Coturnix japonica: one gene and its partners. The protein of the gene in region 4 binds, or shares a complex with, the protein of the main gene of each other region. Links are inferred from orthologs where the notes say so. Each region holds a gene or a part of one and is shown on either strand. Other genes may lie near its edges.

Region 1 (4,030 bases), on a different chromosome or scaffold from region 4:
CCTGCCACAAAGACAGGCTTTTACCTTGTGTATTTAGGGGCATCCCATGTGTTCCCACATATATACAGACATACCGCACCTTGTAAGGTCACCCTGTGTTCCCCTCCCAGCCCCAATTATACCCCACAGTCTCTCCCCACCCCAGTGATCGATGCCAATCCCATGTTGTCCCTGCAGCCCCCATGACGTGTCACATCATTCCATTCCCTTGGTGACATCCCCCTGCACTAGGGACATGCTGCACGCAGCCCATGTGTCACAGTTGAGGACAATAAATTAAATGCATGCAAGTTAAGCCTTGTCCCTGTGTTTGAATGCCTGGGGGTGGGAATGTATGGGGCCCTATGGGTTGGGTGCAGAGGAGCACTTGAACACCTGAGTTCCTGCTAGGTAGTAGGGGGATGAGGGCATACCCAGCCCAGGCACACGTTTATTGGGGTCATGCTGGATTAAGTCACACATTGATCATTCCAAAGTTTATAAATCATTACAGCCTAAACTTTGCAGCTTCCAAACCTCTGATTTATTAAACCTGTATTGATAACCATCTGGATTTGTCAGATATGCCAGGTATTAGTAATGGAGGTAAGACAAAAGTATCCCTTAAGAACTGGCTGCAAGACATGGATGAGACGAGAGATATAGGCATGAACATCAAAATCAGGTGATATGTGGAAATCCAGTTAGAATGGTCTTTGCAGGGCAGGCAGCTGCCAAGGAAAGGTGACAGATGTGATGCTGCAGGAGCTGAACAACAGTGGCATCACCCAGGGGCTGACTGAGCTCTTCCAGGTCTGGGTGCTGCAGGGTCTATATGTGCGGTGGGATGTGTCATCCAGAGCAGCCTGGTGGATGTGCTGTCAGTGAAATACTCATTTTACCTCCAAGACCAGCCAGAATGGTGACAAAACACTGGTTAAAAGTTATCTGGAATGTCTGTTGGGAAGTCCCAAGGATCCCAAAGCAGGGCAGATCTAGAAAGGCGCTGAACAAGTCTGTCAATCACATTGATTTAGTTCAGTAAAACTACGCAAGAACCAAGATCAAGTCCCAGCTTTGGACACAAGATAGTAGAGGATGAAGAAAACAACAACCAGTCCTACAGAAACAAAGCAGAGTAACTTGCGGTTCTCCCTCCCAGAGCGTGTCATGGTGCTGAATCGCTTCATGCTGCCGGTCAGCAGCCCAGTAGCACTCAGAAAATCCGAATCCTAGAGGAGAAACAAAGTGCAAAAAGCAGCATTTCAAACTGGAGAGGCAGCCCATGAGGAGGGTCCAGCTTCCTGCTTAAAGAACAACTGCAGCAGCTGCGCTGTAACTGCCTGTATCTCTGTACCTATCGTGTCTCTCTTATGAGGAACTTCCCTGCCTGCGCTCGTGGCAAAGGCACAGGTAAATACTGCATACCAAGTATCTCTACATAAAGCTAGCACCGTTAATGCCTGCCAGGGCAGGCTAAAAAGCACCAAAACCACGCAGTTTCTTTCCATTAGTTCTCTTTTTTTTCTTTCAGCATGGGGCAGCATACACTTGTAACACCACCAGGTGGCAGCAAACAAGTCTTAAAGCAATTCATTATCATTTCGACTCCACGTCTGTTTTCCTTTCTCATAAACTACCTCCCACTTTTTGCTCACGTTTCTCCTGAAATATCCCTAAATCTTCTCTAATAGAAGCACAATTGCGTGCTGATTCGGGGCTTCTCCTTTAAGATCTCTTGTCTTTACATCTCTCATTCCAACTCTCCACTCTTTTGATTTCTAGGCTGAACAAATATCCAGTTCAGATACTCCAAGGCCATACACTGCTATTAAGGTTCCAAGCTATTAAGCTTCCAAGCTCCCACCTTTGACCAAACTGGTCCCAACATTGAAATTCATGCTTTTTACCCTTCTTTTTTGGTTCCTTACCATGCTATCCAGGTAACGGTTCTGTTCATCAGCATCTTTATCAATATCCAGAGCCAGCTACACAGCATAAGAGAGGAAATTGACGTTAATGAACACCAAGACAACCTGGAACGCATCTAGGCCCACACTAGAGGATGTGGTGGAGGTTTGTTAAGCACAGCCACAAAACAAGGCCTCTCACTCACTGCAGTTTGGGGTTGTGGGAATCCTTTTGCTGTGGAAATAATCTGGGAAAGCTGGCAGAAACTTCCCTATGTTGGACATATGACAACAGCTGACGGACCAGCACTGCCTCCTACTGCTACACGTCAGCCATCGTATGCCCACAGCACTGAGGAAGCCCACACAACTGCGTTGTCCCTGAGACCCTGCAAGCGTCCATAGCAGCGCCAGCAACTCACCGACTTCAGCCTGGTGACTTTGCTGGCCAGGTTGTCTGTCATGCGCTTGTTCTCCACGTCCAGCATATCCTCCATAGCAACCGCATTCTGTCCTGAGGAGAAAAGAAACGCGTCTCATCATCCCGACTGGGGAGCATGGCACATCCCCAAGATGGCGGCGGGGTGCCCCAAGATGGCGGCGGGGCGCCCCCTTTAGCAGCCCCTCAGCGCGCCCCTCACTCCTTCCCCCTCACCTCGCCCCCAGTCCGCCATGGCGGCACACGGCGAAAGGCGGCTCCGCCCGGCAGGAGGAGCTCCGCCTCTGTAAAATGGCCGCTGGGCCTTCGCCTTCCCTGTTGGGTAGTGAGGAGCGGGGAGCTATTACGGGAAGCACCGTGATCTGCTGCGGTAATCCTCGGGTGGGGAGGGGGGGGTGTCCCAGCGCTGTGCTGGGAGGGCATGCATTAAACGTCGGAAAGCAAAGAGGAAAGAAGAGGATTAGAGGGGCAGAGAGGCTGTACGTGGTTCACCCGTCTGCTTTATGGACGCAGCAGTGAGCCGGCTCGCTTGATTTTTGTTTCTTTTTCCCCACCCCCTTTCTCACTGCCTCTCAGTTCTCAAGGATCGAGGTCCCTTTGCACCGCTGTTATCCAGGAGCTCTGGAAGCCTTTCCTCTCTGCTTCCCATCCTGCTGTAGCTGAGCTGTTGGTATCATGGAGCTCAGGACCGTAGTGGCCACGGTGGAAAGCGGGGAGCAAGACGCGGTCCTCAAGGTGCTTCAGATCTACAACCAGGAGGTGAGTGAGCATCACACCTCAGCCTGATGTCACCTGCTGCTGTCAGCAAGCCTGGAAGCAGGTTGGGCCGTGTTATGGGTTCACAGTGCTGCCCAGCTATCCCATCTCCTCTGAGCATCTGTCTCTGCATTATTGCCCTGGAGATGTCATAGACTGCTTTGTTTTGTTACTTGCAAGCTGCTTCTTAATGATGCTTTACTAGGAAGCAGCTAAGAAGCCTCCCTTTATCTTGTTTATGCTGGAAGAAAAGTACATGGGAAGGATTTTCTTTATTATCCAGATTGCAAGTTAAACCCGGTAGGGGAATAATCATGGGCATGAGGAGTAGGAGGAGCCTTGATGCTAGGCAAGGTTTGGAGGTAATAAAACTCACACCTAGGGAGGAGCTGCAGGTAGGATTGTTGTGATTTGTAAGCAAAAGACAATTAGGAGTTGGTGTGAATGGATGCTGGGATTGGATTAGGGTGCCTGATCTGAAAGCTGGCGCATGAAATAATGAGTGTAGAACATGAAAAAGACCGGGTCAGGAAGCTGAAGTGCGAGTGACTCTAACCTTAGATCATCTGCAGGGGTAGTTCCCTTTTGAAACTGTCTGCCAGGGAAATTTCCTTCAGAGGGTTTCCACCAGGCTAGGGCTGGCCCTGCAGATCTGTGACTCATTCTGCACCATTCTGAAGTAGGAGGGAAGCTGGTGGGGAAAACCTGTGCTTATCTTACAAGCATGTGCACTTCCCTTCCTGCACTAACTGTTTCCAGCAGTCGGTTTTGAAACAGCAGGTCCCTTTTAAAAGGTTGGTCTGCAGGATTAGCGTTGCTGGCAGCAGCTGGTGTGCTGGAGAAATTAGGATAGTAAATGGCATTTGTTGTGCAACCGTGTTGAGGCACTAAATCCAATGCTTTGAATTCCTCCAGCTGGTTTCTTTGTCAGCGTGTAGAGCATAGG
Region 2 (3,995 bases), on a different chromosome or scaffold from region 4:
AAGTCTGTGGGATCCTAAAGTATAATATAGCATACACTCACTACCACCACTAGTTATTTGGTCAGAAGTTTTCACTGCTGTGCCACACAGTTTCCTTTCCAGTCACTTATCTTCTGCACAGCACATGGTAATGAAATTGCCACAACTAAAATAATAGCAAAGGGTATTTCAGAAAGCTTTCCTCTGATTCAGTCAAATTAATAATAGCTGTGCATTGTAGCTCCCTGCAGGGTTTGTCCTTGGAGTACCAGTGATACTGACCAAATGTGGAATGGCAGTAGATCTCAAGGGCCTTAACAGGCACAGAAATCACTACACACATTACAGGTGTATTGAAGTTGTTCTATCTATTGTGTTCAAGAAGAAACATAGCACTCCAGAGAGACCCAGAAAGACTCAAGCTGTGGGCCTACATGAACACATGAGGACAGGCTGAGAGAGCTGGGGCTGTTCAGCCTATAGAAGAGAAGGCCCTGGGGGAGACCTGAGGGTGGCCTGTCAGTATCTAAATGGGAGCTGTAAGAAAGGAGACAGACTCTTTAGCAGTATCTGTTGTGAAAGAACAAGGGGAAATGATTTCAAACTAAAATAAGGGAGATTTAGATTGGATATAGGGAAAAAATCTTTTACAGTGAGGGTGGTCAGGCACTGGTAGAGGTTGCCCAGAAATGTGGTGGCTGTCCCATCCCTGGGGACACTTAAGCTCAGGCTGGAACAGGCTCTGAGCAACTTGATGGAGCTGTAGGTGTCTCTGTTCATTGCAGGGGAGCTGGACTAGATGGCCTTTAAGGGTCCTTTCCAACCTCAATGATTCTATGAAATAACCAATAATCAATATATTAATACACGTACGGCCATCTCCAATGGAAATTTCACAGCAGCACAAAACCCATCCCCTGGTGCAAACCTGCTGAAGCCCATTAATCAACTCCAATTAACCCTTCTTTCCTAGACTGAATTCCAAGGCCGACGGCTTGGATGACTCTGTCTAACAGCACCACCTGGTGACACCTGCCGCGACACCACAGCTCGGCGATCCACACGTCAGAATTTGGCTGGAATATAGATTTTATTCCTCAATCTTTCGCTCCGCGATGGGAGGCAGCAGAGCAGGATCCCCGCACAGCAACACCGCGATGCTCCCTTCCCACCGCACCCATCCCTGGAGCCGACCGAGCGGAACGCGCTGCGCGGGGCCGCGTTGCTCGGGGAAGGCAAAACGCGGAGGCACCGGTGGACGGGGCCGGGCTGGCCGCCATGGCGGTGGACATCACCCTGCTCTTCAAAGCCAGCGTGAAGACGGTGAAGACCCGCAATAAGGCGCTGGGGGTGGCGGCTGGCGACAGCGCTCGGGATGAGCTGCTCAAGCGCAGCGCTGCCCGCTCTAGGAGCGACTTCACCGGGCGGGCACGGGAGGTGGTGAGTGCGGGCAGCGGGCGGCCGGGGCAGGGGGAAGGCGGCGGGCAGCCCTCCCCGGGGAGCCGGGGCGAGAGAGTGGCTCCTGAAGGGCCGCAGAGAGAGTCGGGGCAGCGCTGGCCCCAGGCGGATGTGGGCCGGGAGCCGGAGCTGATGTGGCGGCCGGAGGGATCCCAGCCCCACCCCCCGCACCCGGCTCCCGTAACTCCAGGCTGGGGATCCGGGCTTCCATGGCCGCGTCCCCTCGGTGCCCACGAGCCCTGGGCTGCCATGTAGGTCGGCTCCGGAACGAGTGGGCGAGTCTTTGTAGTGCCGAGTTGTGCCTTATTGCACATCTGTTTCTTGTGTCACACGGTATGGCGGGTCCGTATATGCCGGGTCCGTATGAACTGGGGTGTCATACAGCTTGGAGAGACAAGCACTGAGAGGCGAAGGAATTGCTGAATTGGAGGCTGATCAGCGTTAATAATATTACTAAGTATGATTGTAAACTTGTTGCAGGTTCTTTACCCCCGTACTGAGCAAAGGGTGCGGAGGGGGGATAGTGGTGTCAGAGCACGGTTTGAGTAAGGCCCTTAATCAGGCACTGGAATGCACATTGGAGGGGTTCAAGGCCAGGTTGGCTGGGCTGCCTGCTCAAGTGGGTGTCAGCCCTGCCCATGGATGGGGAGGGGATTGGAGCTGGGTGATCTTTAAGGTCTCTTCCAACCTAAGGCATTCTGTGATTTGGAAAAGCTGGGAGGAACAGCCTGCTCAGTGTGCTCTGTGATTCTCTATGAGGAGACAGACTTCCAGAACACACGTGCTAGTGTAGGGCTGAGCAAGGGATGGCAAGGAACCTTTGGCCCTTAAGAAACCAATGATACAGTGATGGACGTTCCATTGCTTCACATTTATGAAATGCTGTTAGAATTTACTGTTTGGGTATTAGTGCATTTTGGTCAACAAAAACAATTTTGGTTATTGTCCTTGGACTAATAGTTTGACAGAACAATTTTGCATTCAGTGAATGTGGGTATTAAAGATTGTTTCAATCACACTTCTATAGACTTGCATAATAACTTGGTTTTGGTATCTGATTTGATACCAATATATAACCAGTACAGATATCACATAGGACCAGCTTATGTGACACTTGTTCTCAGCTTTACCGTAGTCTTATACCAACAGGTTGGCACTTGCACTGTCTTAGACAATCTTATTTAAGCCATCTGCTTTACTTTTTATGGCAAGTACAAGCTATTAGGAAGATCATCTGTCAAATATATACTTATTTGAGAATATTGAAGGGATGAGATTTAATCACTGCTGACTGTTCAGTATGTGTTACAGAAATGAAATTAAGGTTGATACTGCTTATTAAGAGAAATGCAATGAGTGGCAAAGCTGAATCTCACAACGGGCTTGATTCCAACCAAAAGTTATTACTTTTTTTTTTTTCTGTTTTGTTAGGGAGATTATCTGGTTTTTAATGTTCTTGCAAACAGCTAGAAAATTTAAGTGCTACAAGTTAAATTCTTCAAAAGCAGTATCTGAAAGCATGTCCTTGAGAAGGGAAAATTTGAAAGGTTAATAGTTTCTGAGCCTTTAAATGCAGGATTTCAGAATGATAGAATGTCTGTGATTGAAGCTGTTGAACGCGTAAGAATGCCAGATTCGTGGGGCTACAACATCTGTTCTTCATATAACTTCTTTCTCTGTATTCTGTAGAATGATCAATTCTTTTATATTTTATTTCATTTTTTAGTCCATATAATAGGCCCATATTCACATCAAGAATATGTTTGGTTGTGCTGTTTCGTCCTCTATAATGAGCAGGAAAAATCCCCATGTTCAAGTTAGTGGCTTCAGAACACAGTGAATTACATCTGAGTTTTTAGAAGACCAAGAAATATTCAAAATGCTAAAAACAGTGGAGAAAAATGTGGTGCCTACTAGCCTGGTCCCTACTAGCAACTAACACACAGCCCCAGTTATAGCACTGTTTAATTTGCCTTTACATGTGAAAAGGAGACAGTCAAGTGAAAGCTGGGTCTGCTTTGTTCTCTTGCCAGAGAAACCAGAATGTCAGTATTAGCACTCAGACTTTTTTCAGTTATACAAACATCTTTAATAATCCAACAATATTGTATTTTTCAAGACCACCTGCCAATTTCCAGTTAATTACTGGATCAAGTATTCCTTCTTTTCTTGTTGAAAATGTCAGTTAAAAAAATAAAATAACCCGAATCAAAGAATCACCAAGATTGGAAAAGACCTGCTTACTGTATTAACCTTTTTAATAGGATAGGACATGCAGTTGCCAGGTCTAGAATAGCCCTGAATAAAACCTCAATAAAACCTGAATATGGCCTCAAGTTGCACCAGGGCAAGTTTAGGTTGGATATTAGGAAGCACTTCTTTACAGAGAGGGTATTTAAGTACTGGAATAGGCTCCCCAGGGAGGAGGTTGAATTGCCATCCTTGGATGTGTTTAAGAGCCGTTTGGATATGGTGCTCAGGGATATGATTTAGCAAAGGGTTGTTAGAGTTAGGGTACTATGGTTAGGCTGCTGTTGGACTTGATCTTCAAGGTCTTT
Region 3 (4,034 bases), on a different chromosome or scaffold from region 4:
TCATAATCACAGAAGCTTTAAATACAGTTTCTATCAGATGCTCACACTCTGTTCATTTTCTGTGGAAAAGATTCCGTATTTCATATCCCCTTGACTTCCAGGGCCCAGTCCCAAATCTGTGCTTCTCATCTCCCTCTGGAACATGGAGAGGTCCCTTCTGTATGCCCGGATTTTGCTCATCATTTGATTGCGGAATGGTAGAGGAGCATACTTCAGTTCTTCTTCCATTTCCCGGAGCTTAAAGAAAAGAACACTTATTTTAAAGCATCACATTCATTCTTATAAACAGCTGTACCCAGAACTTACACTAGATGAAGGGATTCACATATTATGTTCACATAAGAACATTAAAGTAAAACTTGGGATACTGTCCTTTCTAGGGCAATCAACATATTAAGTGGCCAGAAAGGCCACAATTCCAGGCTTAAACTTACCGTTTCATTTGCTTCACGCTGCTTCTCATCAAACTCCCGAATCAGCTTTTTCTTCTCCTCTGCACAAGAAAGAGCAACACGTGAGATAAACCCCAACAAAACTAAAGCAGAACTTGAAATCCTGATTTCCAGCAAATCGGGTTTTTGCATCCTAGCAGTTCACTAAAAACAACCACTCAAATAAGACAAGCACCCTGCAGAGCTCTGAGATGGAAGACACCATCAATACACCAGATCAGGTTGTCCAAATACTTCTCTTTTCTGGAACCACACTGGATGTTAGATCAAAACACCTAAAACCAGCTCATCTTATGGATGTGCCGTGGCCACACCAGGGCCCTTCCCTTTCAGTTCAAATCCCCATTAAGCCCCTGAGTTTGACTTGTAGTGCACTTAAGATAGATAAGTTTAAACATAAGTTTAGCGCTGCAGGAAATGCTGATTTATGGGGTTCCTACATTGACTATCCTCAGCTCCTCCCCTGCTTTTCTGCCACGTACATTTGTGCTGATTCAACTGCTTGAACAGCCAGGCTGCTAGCAAGGACACGGGCACACACAGCAAGGAAACAACTTTCTAAAGTCACCATTCTGCTCACGCAGGACACTCCACTCCTTTGGTGAATGTAGTGCCCTCTTAGAACAACTGCTGCTGTCTCGAACCCATTGAAACCCGAAGCAGTGCTGAAAAAGCAGTATTTTACCCTCTTTGGGTGCCCACAATTGGATCAGTACAGCACTGCACTTCAGCCACAGAAACATTACCCACATGTTTCTCAGCATCTGTGAGATCTCATTTAAACCAACCGAAAAACAATCAGTTGAAAAAGGCAGTTAACTGTTTACTCAGAGAATGGGATCTATAGCAGAAACTGATCAATGCCATTTAAAATGCTTTCTTATAGGTTTGGAAGGAAGAAAACACTTGCTTCCAGACCTGAGAATTTATTAGCTTGTAAGATAACATTTCCACATGGAAGATGGTCCAACAATGACACATTTTGTCCTCCCTGCAGTCTGGGAAGTTACCAATCATCTCAAAGGAGTACACAGGACACCATCTGTTGTCCCACAGACTTTTCATGACAGTGTGAAAAATGAAGACCCATGTGGGCATGGACAGCAAAGAATGCCTTACAAATGCCTTCAAAAGAGAGATAAATTCCTGACTTCACATGAACTCCCTTGTTATACTTCCTTGGGAATATCACAGATCTGGGGACCTGGCAATAGTTTACTTTTGTCCACAAAACTGACAACCCTCCTTTCTGCAAGGAAATTTCTGTTCTTTGAAATTCAAGCGTTGTGGGGCATTTTTCAATATGTGTGAGCACGGTCTCTCCCCATTCTTTCCCCAGCAACAGGGTTGAGTTTGTATTTCAAGGCAGCAAAATAACCCTCACCCTACCCTGCAACCTCCTCCCATTAATTGTATAGAAACGATGCCCAGATTCCAGGGCCCTTCTTCACAAAGGGGCATCCCTTCCTTTATGCTTTTCCTTCTTGGTGACTGTCAATAAAACAAAGGCAGCTTTGAATCACAGAACTGCAGGGTTTGGAAAGGACCCCAGGGGATCACCCTGTCCAACCCACTGTTAAAGCCAGTTCCCTGCAGGTCACCAAGGAAAGCATCCAGGAGGGTCCTGAATATCACTGGAGGAGACTCCACAGCTTCTGTGAGCAGCCTGCTCTGCCTTCTGGCCTTGAAAGCTGCGGCCCATAGTTTTAAGTGCCTCCCACTGTACTTTCTGGAAACGAATAGGATGGTGACCCTGCATTTAACCCGGTATTAGACTGAACCGGGCAGCCCGGACACCGCACCCCTCACACCCAGCCGGTGCTTCCCCGCCTCCGCGCCCACTTCCCGTTCTCCGCTACGCCACAGCCGAGCGCTGTGCGCCGGGAGCGGAGCCAAACGAGCCCCTCGGCTCGGGCAGCGCCGGGCCGGACCGCGGGGCCTCGCCGCGCTGCGGGAGAAACCTCCGCGAACCCGACGAAAGCGCCGAGCCGGATCCGCCCCGCCTCACCCGCCGCGCCGCCCCGCAGCCGCTCCGGCACGGCGCGCAGCTCCCCGTGCAGCCCGCGGAAGATCTCGTGCAGCCGCTCCAGGTGCTCGGAGGACGCGGGGCCGCGCTCCGCCATGGCGATGGGCCGTACGGGGCACTGCCCGGCGCCGCTTCCGCCATCGGCCGCGAGGACCCGCGCCTGCGCAATGAGACGCCCCGCGCTGCCTGACCGCGGCACCGGGGCAGCCCAGGCGGAGCGGGGTCCTGGCGGCGCGCTGCCCGCTGGGAGCCGTAGTCGCAGCGCCGCCTCGTGGTGCTCCGCCCCGCCCCGCCCTGCACCGCCCATTGCTCCCATTGGGGCGGGGCGGCTCCTCCGGGCGCGATCAGTGCGGGGCGGACGCGGCGCGGATGGAGCCGTCGGCGATGCTGAGCTGCTGGGGCGCGGTGCTGGGCGCCGCCGTGTCCGTGCCCCTCGTGCTGCTGGCGGCGGCGCCCTACGTCAGGTGCGGGGCTGTGGGGCGCCTCGGGGGGCTCCGTGCCGCCGGGCTAAGCGGCTCCTTTCTGGGGGTTGGAGACATACAAAGGGCTTTCGGGCAGCGCTGTTACGGCGGTGTGCGGTTGGCGGCAGCCGGCTCGAGCCGCTCCCGCGGGGGGTCCGGCTCAGCCGAGCACGGGGCGGTGGGAGCCGGTGGCCCGGGTTCGCCCCACGGCGCCGCGCCGACTCCATTGGCCGCCGCGCCGGGAGCCGCGCTGTCAGCCAATGGCAGCCGTGGCCCCACCGGAGCGGGCGGAGCGGGCGGAGCGGGGTGTCGCGGTGCCCGGTCCGATGTCGGGCTCGGAGCCGCCGTCGAGTCCCGCCGCTCTCTTGCAGGCGGTACGTGGCCGGAGGGCGCTGCGGGTCCGCGGCCAGGCTGGACGGGAAGGTGGCGGTGATCACGGGCGCCAACACCGGCATCGGCAAAGAGACCGCCAGGGAGCTCGCCCGGAGAGGCAAGTCGGCGTCACGCTGCGAGCGGGTGCGGCTGATGCGATCCGGCACCACGCGTCGTGGTCTGCAGCCTGGGGCCGTGTTTCTAAGAGCCACATTCTGAAGGTCCTTCAGACAGGGCTGTAACCCCTGAGGTGCAGTTCCCCAGTTCCCAGCTGCATTCACTGCTTGAACCCTGACCCCGTGTCTCAGCGTGTAGAAATACTCAGCGCTGTGGCCACCTCGGGAGGACCAAGGAAGTGCCTGGAGTCACAGGGCTCTACCTTGTTTGGGGATGGGAAATGGCTCAGATCCGCTCATGGTTCAAAACTGGCTTAAATGTTTTTTGGTAACTAGCAGGGCAGTGAAAGTACCCAGCAATGGCTCTGGCTGGAGTCCAAGCAACCCTGCGTGTGTAGGCCCTAGTGCTCCCATACAGCCACAAATACAACCTGGTCATACCAGGGCTGCAGTGCACTCACCTCACCTGGGAGAAGCTGGACAGAGGCACTTCAGATGTGCAATCTCCCTGTCATAAAACAGGTCTGAGCTGGCTTGGAGCTAACAATCTACAACAAGAGTTGTTGTGCTTGTCAGCTGCTCCCCTGGACTGAAGTCAGTTCCATAG
Region 4 (4,200 bases):
AACATGCTACTTTTGTATGAACAAACTGGGCCCAGCTGCCATCCTCAGATGGGGTCAGGAAACCCCCAGAAGAGGGTGAAGGTTGTGGCATTGATCCCAGCCCTTACACTGCTCTCTCTTCTGCTCAACAGCACAGCTAGTGAGAGGCCAAGAGTACAGAGAGCCAAATGGTTCATGAATCACTGATTTTGAGAGGTCACTTGATTTATCTTCTTAGGAGTCTAAGCCAAATAACTGACTAAAGTCTTGGTTTCACAGTCCCTGATGCACAGCGGACAGAACAAGTGACCTCGGGTTCAAGTCACTCAACTGCCTTGTCTCTTAGTCATCCCAGCTGGAGACGGGGTGAAAACAGCCTTCCTACTCAGACTGTTTTCTCTACATATGGACTTGTACCTGTGCTCTTTACTCCTCTGTTGCCAAACGCATGTCAGGACAGTAGCACAGAGTAATATCATACACACTGCTAACTCTGTGAGAATTCACACCCCTTCCACAACTGCTTTCATATAAAATTGAGTTCTACAAACATTAAACAAGAACTCCAGCAAAAAAAACTTCATGCAACATACAACAGTATTTCTGTTCAAATGTTAGAGGAGATCTGCTGAACAACCCCTGAATTACCATCAGAGCAAGCTCTCCTAATGCAATGTGTATTTCCACCATGCTCTGCATCATGACAGCTTGGCTCCCCTCACCCTAACAGAACAGTTGAAAGGTTCTTCAGCCATGCAACCCACACCCCAAAGCCCAGCTCCATCTGTACCCAGGGTCTGCACAGTCTCCTCGCTCTGCTGGACTTGCTGTGACATCATCCTACTGATGCTCATCAGACTCTCCGTGATGTTACTTGCACTTTCTGCCAGACTTTCCTTTGTAGTCTTCCTGAAAAAGCAAAAGAAGAAAACACTCAGGGATAGAACAGTGTCTTTGGTACAGCAGGAACGCGCAGCTGTGCTCTGTGTACAAAAGATACAAGCAAGTTTTACTGCATGAGAACTGGAGATAATCTTTGCTGAACTACTGAAGAGAAATCACCAATTACTGAAGCCATCAACCTGAACAACTGCGGCTCAGAGTCTCACAGAGCTCATGCTGTAGCAGTCATTCAGCCACGATGGCACAGCTTCATAAGGTGACATGGAAGCACTGATACAAACTACCATTTCATCTCCTCAGCTATCCTCCTTGCTGCTCCACAACACCAACCTTGTCAACTTCTCCATTCAGGAGTTATACAAACTTATATCCACATCTACAAAGGAAAACAACTTGCACAGTGATCCACTACTTGCTTATGACCCTGGCAGGAATTAATAAAAAAGAAAATCACAAAAGTTATGAGGCCTACCACAATTTCACCTCTGCTTTGACATGCAAACACTAAAAAAGCCCTGGAATTATGACAATTCTTCACAGTTTAAGCCTTCATAATTAGACAACAGCATTCCATTACAATAAAAGCTATAAAAGCTACTTTCTGAGTACAATCCAATCACTTCAAGCACATCACATTGCTTTCATTGGTACTAGTGAGTATGGCAACATTGTTTAAGTCTCACATCATTCAAGGGGACACTTTAATACCTTTGTCTTAAGGAGTCTCTTCCCTGCAGCAGCTGATCTTTCTCAGAGTTGTCGATAGCGATTTTGCAAGCCAGATTTGCTTTTCTCCAAGCTGCCTGATTGCTGAAATCACAAGAGCACAATGTTGCAGTGCGATGGCAACACCCTGTAAGCAGAAATCACTTTCACAGAGCAGTCACCATAACTAAGATCCATGTATGCACATAGACTTTCTCTGCATTATACCACTGAGTGACAGTATGTTGTTCTTTCATTTCCTAAGTGTATCATTCCAGGCTTAGTCACTCAAACGGACAGACCTGCTCAGAGAGCCAGGAAGGAGATGGGAGCCCTCCTCTTTCTGTCCCTGATCACAGAATCACTTGGGTTGGAAGGGGCCCTTTAAAAGCCATCTGGTCCAACCCCCTGCAATGAATAGGGACTCCCACAGTTCTAGAGCCCCTCCAGTTCTGACCTTGGGTGTCTGCAGGGATGGGGAACAACCACTTCTCTGGGTAACCTGTGCCAGGACCTGCTCTTGGTCTTAATAAAGGCAGCACCGTGTCACTGACTGGGTCTGCTAAAGAGGAACTGAAAGAGCACCCTGAAGGCAGCTACCTCTGAGGACTGGGTGCACCTGTACACAACACAGCCTACAAAACACGGCCTACCTGAGCATTTGCTTTTTATGGTTCTCCACTTCCTGCAGCAAGGCCTGTTTCTCCGACTCTTTATCTTGCTCCCTCGCCATCTGTTCCAGCTCCTTGGACAAAAAAACGGGAATAATATCAGGCTGACCGCTGCCACCTGCAGCTCCAAGGGAAGGGAGCGGAGCTGCAGCGGCCCCGAGGGGAGCCCAGGGGGGCTTCAAGCAGCACAACCCCACCTGGATGCGGCCTCGGAGGTGCCGGAATTTCTCCTTCACCGCAGCGTTGAGCTCCGTGAGGGCGCTGAGCGGCCCCGGGCAATCCCGGATATCCTGGAAGACAACGGCACGGCCTAAAGCACTACGTGGCAAGCAGGGCCAAGCAGCGGGAGCCTCGCAACCCGCACCGAAGGGTTCCTTCGTCTAAAGGGGGCTCCGAGGGCGGCTCTACCTGCACGGCCGCCTTGATCTCCAGGTCGAATTTGACGATCTCCTGGTGACACACCCGCACAGGCACCGAGCCGGCCGCCGCCATCTTGGGAATGGAAAGGCGGGACATGGAGCGCCCCCTGCTGGCCCCCACAGCCCGCCCGTCATCCAGTGTGTGGAAATAGGAAAGGCCTCAGGCCCCCACAGGATCCATCCCACAACACAACACACAAACACACGCGATGATTTCAGACAGTGTTTCCTCCACGATTTTTATTTTAAATTACAAAGGATGTCGCGTACATTGATGAAATTTTGAGTCTGAATAGAAGTTGCGAGGGACCGAGGAGGTGTGTGGGGAACAGGGAACAAAGTCAATGGTGGGATTGTGCCTCTTTTCAATAAAATAAAAATAAAAATAAAGATCGCACAGCTATTAACCAACATCTAACAGCGCAGCTCTGAACAGATCATGCTTTGAACAGGAGAGTTTATTTCCTAACAGAGACACGACTTTCATGGAGTTTCTCTGAGCTCCCATTGGAAGCCAGTGATGGAGGATGCCATGTTTTGCCTTTTCCACCCTCGTGCCATCAGCCTTCGTGTTCACCCGAGCACAGATACCGAACAATGAAGTTTGAGGTCACTTCTCAAAGGAGAAAGTACAATATGAAAGATCAGTACAATTAAATGCTACTCCCGGGGTCAGTTCTTAATTGAGAGGTTTTCCCTCGGGTGGATTGTGCTTTTGTCAATACAAAATCCAGCACAGAAAGTTTTCCTTCCTGTAGATGGATAAACACCCAAACTTGACTTATCCAGACATGGAATGAGCAACTACCCGCAGGGAAGCATTGGAACACTGGTGTTATCCAAAAAGCCTTTCATTTTTATGAAGAAAGATTGTGGCTTAAGATAGTTCTGGTTCCACTTTTAGCTCCTCTGCTCATTAGAAAGACAACAAATGCACTGCCAGCATTTAGTCCTGTGGAAGTTCACGGATGTCTACGAGGCTGAGGGCTGTAAAACAATGCACACACATGCCTTTGCTACATGTGAGGAGCACTGGGGAAAAACACGGCACGTTGTGAAATGGAAATCAGACAGAGATTGAGATACTTTTGTATATTGCAAAGAAGATAGAGCCTAAAAGTGCCATCTTTCATTAACGACACGTAGGAGTCCCAATTTGTATTGGGAGATATTCAAGAGTGGTGTTTTCTCAACGTACTAATGCCCTTAATACAGTTACAAAAAGAATCAGTCACCAAAGCAGTAACTGAAATGTACTTCACACGATCCCTGGGGTAAACAAAACAGATTTCAGCTCTGTGCATGGCTGTGTCAGGAAGCCAAGACCACATCTAGCAGCACACTGAACACGGGAAGTCCAACTGAAGCCTCCGAAATAACAACGATTAGATGCATTCTTGAAATTCAGGTCTCAAGGCCAAACACAGACCCTAACATTCATGGTACACAACTGGTTACGCCTCAACAGAACCTCAGGAAGACTAGCAAGCAAGTCAGAGGAACAGAATGGCATCTGCTATTTC

What was found. The genes of interacting proteins can lie anywhere in the genome.
Region 1: BNIP1 (region 4) and BET1L share a complex: the UniProt entries of both Homo sapiens proteins name them as parts of the SNARE complex. The link is inferred for Coturnix japonica from reciprocal best matches to the Homo sapiens genes BNIP1 and BET1L.
Region 2: BNIP1 (region 4) and STX18 share a complex: the UniProt entries of both Homo sapiens proteins name them as parts of the SNARE complex. The link is inferred for Coturnix japonica from reciprocal best matches to the Homo sapiens genes BNIP1 and STX18.
Region 3: BNIP1 (region 4) and VTI1B share a complex: the UniProt entries of both Homo sapiens proteins name them as parts of the SNARE complex. The link is inferred for Coturnix japonica from reciprocal best matches to the Homo sapiens genes BNIP1 and VTI1B.

Annotation. Positions count from the first base shown.
Region 1 is NC_029520.1:1,401,932-1,405,961, reverse strand, and holds BET1L (BET1-like protein), read right to left. Parts: upstream 2,688-4,030; 5' UTR 2,564-2,687; coding exon 2,545-2,563; intron 2,404-2,544; coding exon 2,312-2,403; intron 1,968-2,311; coding exon 1,911-1,967; intron 1,212-1,910; coding exon 1,044-1,211; 3' UTR 501-1,043; downstream 1-500. Other genes in the region: RIC8A (synembryn-A), read left to right, coding at 3,004-3,087. UniProt on the Homo sapiens protein: Vesicle SNARE required for targeting and fusion of retrograde transport vesicles with the Golgi complex. Required for the integrity of the Golgi complex.
Region 2 is NC_029519.1:71,390,344-71,394,338, reverse strand, and holds the start of STX18 (syntaxin-18), read left to right. Parts: upstream 1-1,195; 5' UTR 1,196-1,257; coding exon 1,258-1,419; intron 1,420-3,995. UniProt on the Homo sapiens protein: Syntaxin that may be involved in targeting and fusion of Golgi-derived retrograde transport vesicles with the ER.
Region 3 is NC_029520.1:27,588,993-27,593,026, reverse strand, and holds the start of VTI1B (vesicle transport through interaction with t-SNAREs homolog 1B), read right to left. Parts: upstream 2,801-4,034; 5' UTR 2,795-2,800; coding exon 2,461-2,794; intron 494-2,460; coding exon 435-493; intron 238-434; coding exon 46-237; intron 1-45. Other genes in the region: retinol dehydrogenase 12, read left to right, coding at 2,848-2,942, 3,311-3,429. UniProt on the Homo sapiens protein: V-SNARE that mediates vesicle transport pathways through interactions with t-SNAREs on the target membrane. These interactions are proposed to mediate aspects of the specificity of vesicle trafficking and to promote fusion of the lipid bilayers.
Region 4 is NC_029528.1:11,061,596-11,065,795, reverse strand, and holds the start of BNIP1 (vesicle transport protein SEC20), read right to left. Parts: upstream 2,801-4,200; 5' UTR 2,775-2,800; coding exon 2,667-2,774; intron 2,549-2,666; coding exon 2,241-2,548; intron 1,693-2,240; coding exon 1,591-1,692; intron 889-1,590; coding exon 770-888; intron 1-769. UniProt on the Homo sapiens protein: As part of a SNARE complex may be involved in endoplasmic reticulum membranes fusion and be required for the maintenance of endoplasmic reticulum organization. Also plays a role in apoptosis.